Drosophila melanogaster: one gene and its partner. The protein of the gene in region 2 purifies or fractionates together with the protein of the main gene of each other region. This does not show direct contact. Each region holds a gene or a part of one and is shown on either strand. Other genes may lie near its edges.

What was found. The genes of interacting proteins can lie anywhere in the genome.
Region 1: the proteins of CG8677 (region 2) and E(Pc) purify together in Drosophila melanogaster (affinity purification with western blotting, with the first as the bait; one study listed by BioGRID). This does not show direct contact.

What each region holds. Positions count from the first base shown.
Region 1 is NT_033778.4:11,448,070-11,456,595, forward strand, and holds the start of E(Pc) (enhancer of polycomb), read left to right. Parts: upstream 1-4,119; 5' UTR 4,120-4,314; intron 4,315-4,699; exon of another isoform or gene 4,700-4,816; intron 4,817-5,323; 5' UTR 5,324-6,247; coding exon 6,248-6,400; intron 6,401-6,464; coding exon 6,465-6,600; intron 6,601-6,755; coding exon 6,756-6,994; intron 6,995-7,063; coding exon 7,064-7,218; intron 7,219-7,518; coding exon 7,519-7,686; coding exon of another isoform or gene 7,687-7,721; intron 7,722-7,750; coding exon 7,751-7,932; intron 7,933-8,297; coding exon 8,298-8,526.
Region 2 is NT_033779.5:21,219,644-21,227,990, reverse strand, and holds the start of CG8677 (uncharacterized protein), read right to left. Parts: upstream 6,680-8,347; 5' UTR 6,440-6,679; coding exon 6,205-6,439; intron 5,556-6,204; coding exon 5,374-5,555; intron 5,314-5,373; coding exon 4,864-5,313; intron 4,800-4,863; coding exon 1,569-4,799; intron 1,362-1,568; coding exon 1-1,361. Other genes in the region: Atg18b (Autophagy-related 18b), read left to right, coding at 7,694-7,731.

The DNA of each region.
Region 1 (8,526 bases), on a different chromosome or scaffold from region 2:
CTAAGCGAGCTTGGGATGCACAGAGTTCTTGAGATGCGAGTTTAATCGAATCGCATTGAAGTCGAATCCGAATCGAATCACAGTACTCGTATTCGGTATTTGAATTGCATGTTGTTGATGCTAAAGCTGAAGCATGTAGCGCTTAAGTAGGAATCGTAGTGGTTATTACATTTTGATTTCGTTGTTACTTACATTTGTAAATGCCCCGACCAGAGGGATAAACCAAAAACCAACGTCAGTAATCGATTCAAACTTTAATTCGTTTATAGACTTACTTTGAACATTTGTCTAAATCATATGTAAACTTGGAATAACTCGACCCCAGACACATTGTGTATATAGCCAGACCCAAAAACATCAAAGATCATCCCAAAAGTATTGCAGTTACCAAGTGGAACATTTGCTCATCTTGTTTATTCCAAAGTCGGAGGAAAACTCCATAATGCATAAACGTTACTTTGTTGTTAATACTCTGTATCCTAGATCTTAGCCATTAAGCTGTACTCTCGGTTCTCGCTTGGACCCCAAAACTAACTAAAATCCCACGCATCATATCACGTACCGAAGCAACAATGAGACCGAACTTTGGTGACCTATCGATCTTAGAGTAGAACCTGCCACCAGCACCTAACTGTATAAAGTACCAATCACCCTGGTCCCTTTGGTTTATGTTAACAAGTGATAATTAGATTGTAAGTAGAAGACCCAGTTCCCAATTCCGATCCCGAGCCCTAGATCCGTAAAGAACCCGTATCCCTCATTATGAAATTGAAATTGAATCAATTCTCATTCATGCTAGTGATAGTTTTAAAACGAATCGAATCGGAATTATAGCTTATATAGTTTATTATTTAAATTTTTGGAATTTGACTTAATATTATGAATGAATAGTTATGATTATCATCTCGACTAGAGTATTCGACTTAAAGTTTTGTATTCTAAGCGTAAACCTTTTCATTTGTATAATTGAAGATTGGCTAATAAACAACCATTTTTACCATACGTACATTTCTAGCAAAATTTACTCTCAACCGTTGCTGTTACTTTTTAGCTTAAATTTGCTTTATCTACTTGCTACTCACTTAACCAACTTTTCAACAATCGTGCACTTTTGCCCACGCATTTGTACAAAACTTAACCTAGACTTGGCTTTAGTTTAAAAATGCTTACAAAAACTAACTAAAGAAATCAATAGAAAATCCGTATCCGTCCAACAGGGAAGCATGAGAACTAATTTCGTTGCTTGGGCACAGGTAAGTCACAAGCCAAGAAAAAAAATATACAAAAATTACAAAAGTCAAGTACAGTTGCGCACCGTTTTCTTAGTTCGATCTTGCCTCGCTCGTAGATGGATGGGATACCGGATTTTAGCCGGCCTATCTTGGTGGTTCACAAACACACTTTCACTCCTTCCCCGATCCAGCACCCTCCTGCCTCCCTCCCGCTCCAGAAAAAATCCCAAAACACTTAGCGAAATTCCCTATGCAATGTTAACACCAAACGTTTTTCGTTTTATTTGTATTATTTCTTGATTTCCTGGTATGTTGGTTTGTTCGATTACAAATAAACATATATATTTTAATCACAAATATCTTAACGATTTTGGTTTGTGAATGTTGACAATATTCTTATAACCAGTATTTGATTGATTGATTGACGGTTAATGCGTTCGAAAGTTTAAACAAAAACATAAATCGAAAAAGGCAATGAACTTAAAAGAAACACACACGAATTTTGTAGTGCAAAAATAACATATTTTAATTTAGTACTTTTTGTAGTTCCAACATCTATCTATCTCAGCGCCAACATACTCTCTATTTCTCTTTCTCTGTATCTCCTCTATCTCTCTGTATATCTTTCTATCTGTTCAATTATATTTTACTCTTATAACAACTAACTTTGATCTTAAGAATCTTTTTACTAACTTTCTTCCAAAACAGAAACCACATAGAACTCTTTCACTAGAGCCACACCTGTAGCATATACTAAACAAATCTATAAGAGTACACACAATCACAGATACACTCACTGAATGTTAGCGAAAAATATACAGAAAAGACGATACAGTTACAAAATTAGCTATGCACTTAGAGAAACACACAACAAACGACTCATGAATATACTATAAACCAATGGTGAATTTTTACTACTTGTAGGCGCGTTTTTGAAGAATAATATTAAATCCGTTTGAACAGCCCGATAATGCTGGGCCTTAGCTTCACATCCATAGATTCCTCACAATACAAAAAGCACTAAATTAATATCAAAGATCTTACCAATATAGCGGAATGCTAACATAATGGATTATTGGTATTGGTTGATGAATATTGCAAGGAAATGAGAAAAACCAAAGAGACACAAAAAGCCCACAGAACCAACTCTCTAGAAGAATCAGCAGTCGATTTTATGTTTTAATTTGAGTTATGGTTTAGTTTTCGGTTTCGATTATCCATCATGAAAATAGCAGATAATTCAGATTTTAAATTGACTTTACACCTCAGCTCACCACGCACACATCTAAATAGTGCTTCCCGCCACTCACCTCAATTCGCCATTTCACCCACTCACCCCAACTCACCACACCAAGTGGCGCACGCGCCACAAATTCCACCAGTGGCGTACGCAGGATTCTCTCAAAGGGGCTTGAAAATATTTTCTTATTTTCATTTAATTCTGTAATATGCTGAAGAAGAAGAGCCCTCTCCCTGCGCACGCCACTCTCTTCAACCACCAACACGGTTGCGCAGCCGCGACAGAGAGATATGCCTTCGCTCTCTCGCAGCTGCGCCACGCCCACCACCCACAGCCACCCACGAAAATGGTGCTTTTTCACATACGACACCACTGTCTGACTATATTTTTCATCATGTACGCCATCGCAATCCATGCCACAGTGGTCGCAATGCCGCGACAGCCGCTCCACAAGTGCCACCAAATACTATTTTATTTGTGTATTTATTTTCACCGAAAATGAATTCCTGCACTTTGTGGGCGGCAGGCGCGCGTGCATTGCCGAGCATCTGAAACGTCGAGGGTAGAGATGAAAATATCGGGCGCCGCCTGTCACCGGCGAGTATTACCCAATATAAATCGCTAATGGCCACAGGCGGTCGCCGCCCCAACTGTAATTGTGAACGTCCGTGCGGCCATTGCCCAAAAATGATTACATAATACGATCGAACGAACCGAATGAGAAGCCAAAGAACTAAGGATACGAAAGCAGCTGAAATAACGTTGGAGGATCGGCGCGGGATTTTGGCAAATCGAGCTTCTTCTGCTTGGGGCTTTTCAAGCATAAGGCTTTGAGGCTTTCTTTTTACTAAGCAGGTGCTTCCAACTCGCTTTGCTGGACAAATGCCCGACATAAGTTACCATTCAAAATCGCTTGGCCAAATCAGCATTACCCCCACAAATTGTTAAGGACTAGCGAGTAAATTTTAATCGTATTCTCGAATATAAATTGAGCAAACTTTAAGTCAACGAGCACATTTGAAACTATCAAGACATTGTAACCAGCAAATAAACAAAGTTAAGCAAAACAGCGAGTACGAAAAGCCTTGTAAGAGATTATAATAAAACAAAAGCATTTAAAGGAAGTTACAAAGTGGAGTTATTATTATTTGTATGCTGTATGCACAAGTTTAATTTAAAGAATCCAAATAAAATTCTAAGCTATCCAGCACACAAAATAAAACAAAAATTGTTTTACTCATTTAATAACTATATCTATAATGTCGACTGTTCAGCAAACAAGTTGTAAATACAAATTTGAATTAACAATTTTTTATAAATTTCGAATGTTAAAGCCCATGCGTTAGCACATCTTTGCCGATGCCGCAATTGTGAGTGTTTCCGATAGCTCGCACGAAATGCACTAGCGCATGAGCACTCCGAATTATTTGCACACCACTAGCTGGGCACCTGGTGAATGGGGCTGCGTAAATTAACAACAAAATAAATAAATGCAGCTTGGCCCCGGCTATCCAAATGTATGCATGCGACCCCTCACAAAATTCCACAGATTTAGATGAAAACCGCACTCAAAACGGTTAACTATTTCGCCTGGAGGCCTAGCCAAAATAATTTCGCCACTGTGGCGACGATTTCGTTCGACTCCGACAACTCCGAATTTTCATTCGTAATGGCCGCCCATAAGTAAAAACGTGTCCCGCTGCTGAAGAACGATTATACGCGTTTGCGCTAAGCCAATTGCTTGAATTTAGCTGTAAACGGTGCGGCAGTGGTAAATACGCTGAAAACCACATCATTTAATCATATAAGAGGCCCCAACGCCCGGCAAAGAGTGTGAAAAAAGTGCGTGAAAAAATCTTAATCGATTTTTTTGTTTGTGAAAAAAAAATCATGCAGCGTTGGGCATAGTGCTCGAAGAGCTCGCCAGGGGGCGCTGACAAACTGTTCGGAGTGTCATCGGAATAAGAGGCCGGCTATTTAGCGCTGCCAACGGCGATTAATCGATAACCGTAGCGGTTTTGAAATATATATTTTGAAAGGAAAACGTCATGTTAGAGCAATTTAAAAATTCTAGCAGTAAATATTTAATTTTTGCCCATATATGACAGGGCCCTGCAGTGAAATTGCGGCAATTAAATCGACGACCGCTTATCGTTATCGCCGCCGACGGCACAAATAAATCGCGGCCCCGCTGTCCGCGGCGTCGTCGGTGTTCGGCTCTCTGGCCGCCATTATTGCTTTCCAGCGAAACCACGCTATACGCAAAATCGGGTTTATATGTGTAAATTTTTCGGGCGATTTATCAACCAGATTGCGTTCGCTGATGCATGAAAAGTGCGGTAAAGTGTGTAAAAAATTAGCGCTGGCCCAGAAAAACATACGCACTCGATGGCTGATTACTAATTAACTAGATAAAAGCAAAAAACAAAACCCACATGAGGCGGAGTTTGATTGCGTTTTTTTTTCTCACTTAACAGAGTTCTGTACAAACAAAATGTTAGCTAACAGGGCTCTGCAAAGTGAAATATCTCGCGGAAAAGGCAGTATTAAATTCGCCGCGTTTGTTTGAGATGTGTGTTTGCGCGCGTGTGTTTGTTTATGCCGCCTTTTTCTTCGTCTCGGCTTTCTATGATTTTGCATTTTATCGCATTTAAATAAAAAAAAAAAATCATGACTCATGCGGATCGTGTTTTTGTGCGTGTTAATATTAATTTAATGCAAAAGCAAAGAAATATACAAATGTATGTGGATTTGTGAGTTTTTTCCCGCGCGCGCCGCCCTCACATATCAATGTATGCGTGTGTGTGAGAGTTGTTTACTTACTAGTTTTTGTTGTTGTTATCAATTCTAGATTTTTTATCAGCCAACCGATAACACGACAGCCAAGGCGAAATAATAATAAATAATAACAAGAAGAGGAAGTCAACAAATAAGCAAAAGAAAGAAGAACACAATATTGATTTAACCTAAAACGATGATGAACTGAAATGTGCAAATTTGATGAACGTAATTATGCCAATTCACACAGAACCTTCGATTTCAACGTGAAAAATGTCGTCGACACATTTGCTGCATTCACTGTCACTGTTGTTGCTACCACTGCGTTGTCGTCGTAATTGCCACCAGATCGTTTCCTTGGCCATTGTCCTGCTGTCGGCGCTGTCAGCCAGAGCTCCCGAGGATCAAGGAGGACGACAGGAGAGGGAGGCGGAGGAGGAGGACGAGCGGCAGGCGGACCGCCGGGAGAGTGTCCAGGGGGAGGAGGAGGACACGCCCTACATAGTCGCCAATCCACACCCAATCCTCACTAGCAGTAGCACTACGTCTTCGGCCAGGGCAACGGGCACAGGGGCTGCGTTAACCAGCTGGCAGAGCAGCCACAGCCACCGCAGCCCCGGTGCTCACGATCGGGATCGGTGTCAGGAACAGGAACAGGATCAGAAGCAGCAGCACCTTTTCTACCCCAGCAAGCCCCATCTCCAGCTAACGTATACAGCCCCCTCGACATCGAGTAGAGGAGCCAACACAACGCCGACCACGAATCGGAGTAGATCCTCCAGAATCCAAATTAGCAGTTGCAGCACTAGTCCTGCCCACTGCAGTTGGACCGCCGGAGCAATCGTAGCCTCCTTAGCATCCATAGCCACCTAAGCAGTCGATTCCACTAGGCAAACTCTCAAATCAGCCACAGCAACAGCAAATAGAAACGTTCCACACACCACAACAACCCAACCCAAAACCACCCACAACCAAAACCCAAACAAAAGCCAGCAAGATGTCCAAGCTGTCGTTCAGAGCCCGCCATTTGGATCCGTCCAAGCAGATGCCCATCTACTTGGCGGAGGAGCTGCCCGACCTCCCCGAGTACTCAGCCATCAACCGGGCAGTGCCTCAAATGCCCAGTGGCATGGAGAAGGAGGAGGAGTCGGTAGGAAGTTTCTCAGTGATCCTTTATTTTGGATGAAACTAATTTTGTCCCTTATCCCTTGTAGGAGCACCACTTGCAGCGAGCGATATGCACGGGTCTGATCATCCCCACGCCCGAGGTGCTGCAGACGGATCAGCCCTTCTACGATGCCTACTATCCGCCGGACTACAAAATGCCCCGCCAAATGATCCACATGCAACGTAAGCAAAAAGCAACTACTAGAGCAGAATAATTCGTTTCGTTTCGGGCTTAGAACATTATTTTTAAATTCCATATCAATATTGAATGAAATGCAATAACTTATGTAGTTTCGTATTATTCTTGGACTAATTTTTTACAATTGTTTAACTCTCAGCTCTTGGGCTGGATACCGAGGTCCCTGACTACGACATGGACAGTGCCGATGAGGACTGGCTCAGTCAGCAGCAGCGCCTGGAGCTTACCGAACTCAAGTTCGAGCAGATGATGGACCGGCTAGAAAAGAGCTCCGGCCAAACGGTGGTCACGCTGAACGAGGCCAAGTCGCTGCTTAACCAGGACGACGAGACCAGCATATCCGTCTACGATTACTGGCTGAACAAACGCCTCAAGATGGTAATAAACACTTAGCTTGGCTATTGGCTACGGCAATATACTAAATCAACTATCTTATTCATTCTCTAGCAACACCCGCTGATCCTCACTGTGAAAACTGAGAGTCGACCAGGCGCCAGCTCCAACAATCCGTACTTGGCTTTTCGTCGTCGCACCGAGAAAATGCAAACCCGCAAAAATCGAAAGAACGATGAGGCCTCCTACGAAAAGATGCTCAAGCTGCGGTAAGAATCGAGTGAAGTTTGCCTAAAGTCGGTTGAGAAATTTTTAAATGCTGGCTAATCGGGCTACACTGCAATTACTGGACACAGAACTTGCAAACATTTTCTTTCTCTGTATCATATAAATTCAATTCCTGCCCGATTTAAATGCAGGTTTTTTATGCATGATATCCTTAATCAGGAATTTTCCCATATACAACATTTTGTTTATAAAAAGCCAGGTAGTTTTCGTTAGCCAGCATATTTTATTGCCCAGCTTTTCATACCTGACCCTAACTAATCCACTCTTTCCCTGTCCTCTAGACGTGACCTGCAGCGCGCCACCACTATACTGGAGATGGTGAGGCGACGCGAGGAGACGAAGCGCGATCATCTCAAGATGACGGTGAACATCTTCGAGAAGCGCGTTGAGATGCGCGACTTCAACGGTGCTGTCTACTCCGAGCTGAATTCTCAGTACAAGAACACAAGGTGCGTTTTCGGACACCTTTTACTTATGAAGAAAGGTACTGAAATACTCCTTGTTTATTTGCAGACCCGCGTATAATCCATTGTATACGAATCAATACTCACAAGGGGCGGCGGCGGTGGGAACGGCTGGTGCCATTCTAGCCGCCCTGCCCACGGGTCTGCTGCCGGGCGGTGCTGGAGCGGCAGGCAATGCAAATGTCTTCGGCTCAGCGTCCCAGTACCTGAACTCGTCGAATCTGACAATGGGTAAGGGTGGGATTACATCTAGTATTTAATTGCAGATGTCCTAATCACACTGCTTTAAATCGCTCAGGGAATATACAGTCAGAAATGAAATTGTCGTGGAATAATTAACAATGTCCGCTTGACTAACTTATTTGGCCATTTTGGTATTAATATGCCTTTTAAAAATAGATAATCATTGTTTTTTAATTTCATATACATCGTGTTAGTTTTTCTTAATATATCGTGTTATCTTCCTTTTCTTAATTTAAATATAAAATATTTTGTTTAGCTTGTTTGTCCACCTCTTTCCTAAATCTTAAAGCCATCTCTAGAAAAAATTATTTTTGTCACACACTGTTTAACCGAATTTTCAATTGCTCTTCTAGATGCCATCAGTGGCAGTGGGAATGGAAACAGCAGTCGCAAGGAGAAGCGTCCATACAAGAAGCGCAAGCACAAATTGCCCCGCGACAAGCAGCAGCACCAGCAGCAGCAAACGCAGCAGCACCAGCAACAACAGTATTTGCCGGCGTCTGGTGGCGCCGGAGTCTCGCCCGCGCACCACCTGCCCCACCATCTGCACCACCTCAGCAGGCAGCAGAGTGCCTCGCCGGC
Region 2 (8,347 bases):
GACGAATTCGACTTCTTTGCGGCCACCGTCTTTTTCTTTTTGGAAGAAGGATTCCAGGCACCATCCTCGCTCTCAGAAGTGGTGTCGTCACACAAATCGGCGCTGTCCACGTTATCGGACAACTCATTATCATCGTCATCTTCCGTTTCCGTTTCTGTATAGTCAGAATCGTCTTTCTTCTTTTTTGACTTTGTAGTCCGTCTCTTCTGATCTTCATCTTCGCTTTCGTCACTCTCTTCAACCACAAACTTTCTATCCTTGCGCCTTTCACGTGCCGCTCTCCTGGCTGCCTTTCTTTGCTTTTTTCCTCGACCGGGTCGCCTGTATGCCTCCAAGCTTGAGTCTGAGTCTCCGGATGCGGACTGTGAAGTATCTTCATCCGAGTAACTGGACGTTTTAAAGTCCTCATCGCTTCCATGATCTTCTTCGCTGCTAACGTCCAGGGTGGTCAGTTTTCGAGCCTTCTTTTTGGCAGGAGGTTGTTTAAACTTGTTACTACGTTTGAGAGGTACTTCGTCTTCTGACGACGACGGACTACTGCCGCTAGATTTTGACTTTTGTTTATCCTTCTCACCGTCTTCCTTATTCCCCACTTCATCCTCCGTAGGCAGATCATCACGTCGTGCCTTTTCCTTATCCGCCTCAATAATGGTGGATATGTCTTTGCCGCGGCCCAGATTTCCTGCTCCGGCAACCTCATCCATCTCCTTTTTTAAAGCAGAATTGATAAGGTCGTCATACTCGTTAAGCCGATAGCTCACGTTGATTTGCCGCCGCTTGCGCAACTTGTATATGGGTTCATCATCCGAGTCAGAAAAGCTAGTGCTATTGTCGCTACTTGAGTCAGATCCAGATCCGGATCTAGAGCCACTGCCTAAGGATTTGCGGTGGCTGGAGTCAGATTCGTTTCCACGACGGCGCCTGGTGCCTCGCTTGGCAGCTCTCCTATTAATGCGTCCATCTCCGCGACGCCGCTTTACCTTTTCAGCCTTGCCGACTGCCATATCATCCCTATCGTCTTCGTCCTCTTCCTTTTCGCTCTTGAAGTTTTCGTCCTTCGCCGCCAGCGTGGCCGCCTCTAGCTCCTGACGCTCTCGCTCGGCTTGCTCTTCAGCCAAGATCCGCTCCTGTTGCTTTTGAGCTACCAATGTGTCGTATTGCTCCAGCTGTCTCTCCAGGGCAGCTATGAGCTGCTCCTGCTGACAAGGAGGGCAGTGCCAATCGCCCTCAGGAATGTAGAAGAGCACTGGTGAAAGGCAGGAGCAGTGGTATCCTTTGTTACAGGTAGGCGTGTCGCAGAGCAAAATCCACTCCGGATGGTCAGACTTGCCGCATTTCTGACAAGCTTCCTCCGCATCCTCCTGTAAAATAAATCAGCATGAATGTTACTGCATAGTGATTTTAGTGACCACTTAAGATATAAAACACATTCTGGATTATAACGGGTACAATAACAATGCAAGGAATAACTCAAGAAATAGTTTCTTCTATTTTGAATAGACATTCAGAACGGGAAAGCTAACAAAATCAATTTTGTATGCTTTCTAATTAACATTTTTAATATTTACCTCCTCTAGGTCATCGGCGTTCTCCTTCCGTACGGTGCGCGCCCTTTTCATTGGCACCACTTGAGACTCATCTTCAAGCTCCGATTCTGGTGAAAATTCGTGATCGGACCGGAAGAGTGGCGAACCAGGATCCGTTTCATAGTGCGGTGGCTCCTCCTCCTCCTCCTCACTTTCTGGCTGTTCTTCTGAATCGGAAGACCAGCCATCCTTGCCAGGACACTTTTTTTTCTTCTTATTACGTGCCTCCTCCTCCGCCTCGCTGGCCTCGGATTCTGATTCTTCTCCTGATGGTTCTAGCACAGTAGGATCTGCTTCCTTCTCGGCTTTTTTCTTTTTCTTAAGCTCCTGTTTCATGGTACGTAGAGCAACCTCCTCTTGCTTTCGCCTTTCAGCTTCCTCTTTGATCTTCTGCTGGGCAATGCGCCTAGATTGGCGCACAGGTGTCTCCGAGTCGTTGGTCTCAATGATATTGGTAGTATCCACCTCACGCTTCTTTCTCGGCCCACGTCCACGACCCACCTTTGGCTTTGGCTCCTCGTTGGGCTCTTCCTTGATGGGTTTCTCCTCAGGTTTCTTTCTATTTTCTGGGCTTTCTGGGGCTGGATCGTCTTTAGCTTCAGATTTTATTTTGGTTGAAATTTTCTCATCATCTTCGGATTCCTGCTTCAGCTCAGCATTGACCTCTGGCTGCATTTTATCCCTGGCCCCACCTCGAGTCCTTTTTGGCTGAGGAAGCTCAGAGTGAATGACAGCAGGTCCACCTCTGCGACCAGAACGACGGGCAGATCCCTCCGGTACAGGCGATTGGTCTTTAGCTGAACGTAATGAATCCTTGACAGACATTGCAAGTGGGTCCTCGACTTCCTCCTGTATGTCCTGCTCGTTATTGCGCTTCAACTTCTCGCTTACGGCTGACGGAGGCACTTCAGTAGGGGAGGATTCCTTCGAAAACGCCTCATTTGCATCCTCACTGCTACGACGCTTGCGATGACGCTCGTCCGGTTGACAAAGTACATTAGATGCTGGAATTGCAGGCACGAGGGTCTCACTGTTTGTTCGTTTTCTTGGTATGGTCTCTTCTTCACTCTCCTCCTGTCGTAGTTGTGTCAGGAGATTTTTCTTTAGGGGCTTGGTTATCGGTGTTTTTTTTTGCGGACTTAAGGAGATGATGGGCGGTGTAGCTTCTCTAGTTTTCTGCATCAGTTGCGTTGGCATCTCCATTACTTTTTCAGTTGTCTTTTCCGGCAAATCCATCTCTATACTTTTCTTTAACTTTCTTTCAATAATTTCCTCCAGAGTGGGCTTGGTTTTAGTGTGAGGAGCTATACACTTGCGGCGAATACGCGCATCGTCTTCTCCGCTGGACGAAGTAGTTTCTTCTATCTGCGTTTTTTGAGCCTCCACCTTTCGCCTGGACTCCGCGTTAGTGGTCTTCGGTCTCATTTTAATGCGCTTGCCGCCCACATCTAGATCGTCCAGGGTAGGATCGTCATCTTGCGGTTCCTCTTCGTGCACTTCGCTTTCGGAGGTGGAGTTTCGTAGAGCGGACTGAGAGTCATTAAGACGCCGCTTGCGATTTAATAACGTAGATGTCTTAGATATTTCTTCAACAGCACCACTCGTCCTTGACTTACCGTCAACCTCTCCGGATTTTCCATTGTCTTCGAAAAGTAAGTTTTGGGATGTACTTGGTTCTATGGTTTGAACTTTTTCCGAAATCCTATGTTCTGCAGATGGCGAAATATTGATTTCAAGACATGTTGTATTCGTTTCGCTTTTTGAAATATCTTTAGGTGGATCATCTTGAAGCAAGGTTTTAATAACCCCTTCTGCCTTATCAATTTTATTTATAATAATACCTTTATCATTGGTTTTTCCTGCATAAGGGTCAATCAAACATTTCGATTTTGCTGTTTCATCTTCCCCATCCGTTGGAGAAGATTCAGATACTGATTCCTTAGCGCTCGTTGCCGTTTCCTGTTCTGATTTCATTTTGGAATCATGTTGGTTAGGTACAGGGCTTTCTGTTTCACACGAAAGTTTCTCATCACATGCAGTGTCCAAGGCATTTGTCGAAATTTGCTGATGATTTATTACCAGTTTATCCTCAACTGTACCGCTTTCCAGGACGCATTTTTCTGTTACTGGTTTCTTTGTATTGTTCAGATCAGCTGGAACTTTATGCTGATCCTGAGTCTGAATAGAGGAGTTATCACTTTCATTTGAATTATTTTGTAAGACTGAAACTTCTGTCCTATTCCTCACTCCTTCTTCAATTGCCTCACTTTCGGTACGACCTTTAGAGATTTCCTCATTCTTTTCGATCACGCTTATTGTACTATCCTGTATATTCCTTTTAGCCACTGGTACGGATTCCTTTTTTTTTATTTGATCATCTGAGATTTTATTTACGTTAGCTTCTTGGCATATGTTAGTCTCTTCTAATGTAGCTGCACTCGCAGATGCTGTTTCTTCACTATCTCCCAGAGTTTTTGTGAGTTCGCTTCCATTTCGGGGCGGTGTGTTCACTATACACTTTTCGCTTTCACCATTTGTTTTCTCCTCGCTCAAGCTGTCAAAAATGCCCCGTTTTGCCTCTGGTTTTGATGTTTGCTTCATGGGACTTAGCTTGAGACATCCGGGCTCGCCAAAAAAGAACGTCGCTTTTGGTTCCGATGTGCGCGTTGACGTTTCCTCCACGGAAGCTTCGTTTTTACCATTCCCCACGAGACAGTCGGTCCCCCACCCTTGACCAATCACATGGAGCATTGGATCTGCAATGGCTTCCCCGATCTCCAAGTCATCCTCATAATCAAAGTTGCCAATTAAATTATAAGGGATGGCTTCACAGTCAAGTCCTGATCCTTGGCCCTGCACCACTATCGTTGGATCCTCTATAGGCTCTCCAGTATCTTCCTCATCGTCATCTTCCTCGATATCCGCCGCCGCACTATCGACATCTTCCTCTTCCTCACCCTCATCCAATTCAGAATCCTCCTCGTCCTCTTCTTCCTCATCCTCTTCTCCGGACTCTTCTTCGATTTCATCCTTAGTGCTTTCGTAGCGACTTGGCTTTTTGATTCGCTTTGTATCAAGCAGTGTGGGACGGTGCTTCTTCTGCTGTTCCTCCTGGGAGGCTGTGGGGCTGCTGTCTACGTCTTCGATAGAACGTTTTTTGGTTGGGGCCGGCGATGCGCTACTCGAAAGTTTGGCCTGGCTAATGAGCAGTGGCTGAAAGACCGAGAATGAAATCTTATCTAAAAATGCAAAGCTCCTTGGTTAAATCCATACACACCTTAACCTTTTTAGACTTTTGATCCTCTTGCTCGGGAGAGCGGAGTTTAATCTTTAGATTGGGTACAGTTTTTTCGGGCTCATCTCCAACTTCCTCATCGTCCTCTTCTTCTTTCTGTTCGGGGGGCGGTGGTTTGGGATGACAACTGTTGCTGCTGCTGGTGTCCTCATCGGCCTCACCAATGTCCTTCGAAGGAAGTACCACCTCATTTCCGCGCAGCCTTGAAATGAGATTTACAAACTCGTCCCTGTTCGTGGCAACCACCTGCCAAATTTCCTCGTCTAGATGCTCCTGGTAGATCCGCAGATTACAGTGGGCATCCTGAGTCAGCCAGTAGGCATGTCCCAACCGGTCCCTTCCAATTGGCTCAGAGCGTAAAGTATCGGCATTCAAGGTGAGGATGTGGGCCCGAAACTTGGCATTGCGTTCAAACTGACTTTCGAGAAGTTCCTGTACGGGAAAGACGCCCTTTAGAACGGTTTATCAAGTGGTACGAAATTCGTTACTCACCCGAAATATTCGCAGCTTAACCTTCAAGCTGGAATTCCTATAACCGAAACGTTCGATTTCCCAGGCATCTTGCACCGAGTAGCCGAAGCAGAATTTGCTGAGGGCGGACTCCCAACTCTTTTCGTGAACCGTCTTACGGGTCTTACGGAGCAGCTTTATGTGCAAGTCCCTTAGCTCAGGAACTACAAAGATTCGTTATAATTAAATATTAGTAAAAGTTCTGCGAAAAGGAAGAAAGTGACAGCGGAATATAAATGGATTGTGGGTGGATTATGAGGGCAAGTGAAATAAATGCAACCGCGTTTGTTGTAGTGTACACTTTTTGTGTCTGCTGTTGCTCACGCAAATACATACAAAACGTAGAAACTTAGCATGATTATAACTTTTTTAAACAAATATATTTTCAGGTTCCCTCCCACTCGTGACCCTAAATATTTAATATATTTCCAGATGCAGGTGTACATTAAAAAAAAAAAACCAACTTTTAGTGTTCAATTGTAGCTCTCTTACTATCTCTCAAATAAGAAGACCAGAGCAAATGTGGGAAATATTTACGTCTCTCCCAGATTTGTTTTGTATATTGCGCTTGTGTTGAGATGAAAACAAATCGCAGTGCTCTCTCTGCCATTGAGCAATCTCTTTCTCTCTGACGAGCCAAGCACGCTCTCCAGAGCGGAGCATTGTTAAATCTCTGGAGCAGACCTATTCGAAAACACTACATCCGTAGTTTCCACCGCCACTTGCCCCACGATAATTGAACCTGACATAAATTAATTTGGCAAAAAACTGCTTCCACCCCGCTCTCTTGATACCACCACCCCACCCTCTCACCATCGTTGTTGTTTGTCAACCACTCCTGCAGATGCTTGAAGTTGGGCAGGTTAAGACCCAGGTCCTTGCCGAATTTTTGCAGGAAGGCGCAAATGACCGCAAAGTCCGGATCATTGGCGCATGTGTGCAGCGTGGAGGTGAGGGCGTCGTCGTCCTTGCACTCCTCCGATATGGAGTCCGTCGGAAGCGGGATCGGATTGGTGGGCGCCGCAGCCGCAGCTGAGGACGCCGCCATTTTTCATGCGTCCCCGAGAACCAGCGAAAATTTTCGGGTGTTGTATACTACTCTGGCAAAACCTCAAAACGGGCACTGCAAACACGAGTCATTTGTCCAAGGATCAAGTTCTCTGGTCGCACGGCACTGCGAGACTTCGAGGGTGCATATTTCTTGCCGCGAGACAGCTCTTGTACGGGATAAAATCCTATTTTAAAGCAAGCGAAAATGCTTTATTTTCTGTTGTGAGTTTCAGTGTGGCCGCGCAGTCACTTTTCGACAATACTGCAGATTGCACCCATGTAATTGAAGCGAGTTGGCAGTCGATGCACTGGGGAACTAGTTTCTAGTATACTTGGCGTATGCATGAAAACGATTTTTACAAACTACGAATACATTTATAACTTACTCAGATTCGCGTTAAGACAGTTTTATTTTTAAGTTAGCGCTAGACTATGAAATGTGTATTAAATGTTACAAATCTAAAAATTGTTTTACTATTAAATAGGCTATGCAAAATTTATTAAATCGACGAACAATATAGGTTATAATATAAATTAGGAACAAAAGGTATAAAGTTTTAGTGTAGATCAAGTTGAAGTAGGGAAATACATTATGGGAAATACAATTTTGCTAAGACAGAAGAACCTTATAAGAAGCTTAACACGTCCACTGTTTTGTTCCGATTTGATAGAAAATTTGACACAACACTTAGATAATTGTAGATACTTATTGGAAAAAACTATTTTAATGTTTATATAAAAAGAAATGAAACTGACATATACACACTAAATGCACTGTAATTGTGTGAAATATGAGGTAATTTTATGATTTTTCCAATGCAAATATATGCGGATACATGTATATATATTGTCCATTTCAATTTTTAATAACAATTTTACATTTTCCGTTACACAAATGATTTAACGGTATATATGGCATTTGGTGAACACGGCTGGTTCAGTTCCCGAACCCAGTTCCAATGATGATGATTTATGTGTGTGTGTGTTGTGTGTAGGGGGAATTTGTTGATAGATAGAACGAGAAAAACAGTCGCAGCAAAACAACAAAGACGACGCAAAACAGTCGAATTTAGTTTTCAATATCAAGTGAAATCATTTCGCTTTGCTCATCTGCCATCGTCGATCAATATCTTGTGTACTCAAACGACGGGACTCTGCAACTGAATATCGCTGAAAAAAAGCATCTAAAGACCAGTGAAAGTGTAACTATATAAAAAAAATACAATCACCAAAGCACAAATCTTCAGCAGCAATGACCACATATCAAATGAACTTCAACCAGGACTTTACGTAAGTAGCGACATCTGTGCTTAAATCCTTAAATCCCGGAAGGTCACCAAAGCGAAAAGTGGCAAACAATTGAGACACAAAAATCGACAAATGAGACGGGTAAATAAGGCGAAAACAGCTGCTGTGGGGAAGGTGGACGGGGATCGTTAGTGTGTCTGTGGGTAAGCGTGAATTGGCGTCATTTTTCGTGTCGTGTGTGTGTGTAGTTTATTAGAACATGCAAACAAGCAGTTCCAATTACAATAGCATGCATTCATCTAACATTTTGGAATGCCTTTCCCGTTTCGGGAGGGGGCTGGGAACCGAACTCGGTACACTGTCAGTGGCCAACAAGCGACCGATTTAGCAGTATTTCCATTCTGATGGCCACTGTGCGGGACACCAACACTCGCACAATTGGCGCACAATCAATTGTTTATGCGCAACAGCTGATGACTAAGGAACAAATGAAAGTGCGGAGCGATAAGGATGAAATAAAATGACAAGAAACAAAGGGGGTCAATCTGGCGGGAGCGCACTGTAGCTATCAACGCAGCCTTAATCTCGAGCTTAATTAACCAGTTTCGCTATTGCACGGTACGTTGATGTCATCCAAGAACAGGGTGAGGGAAGAAGT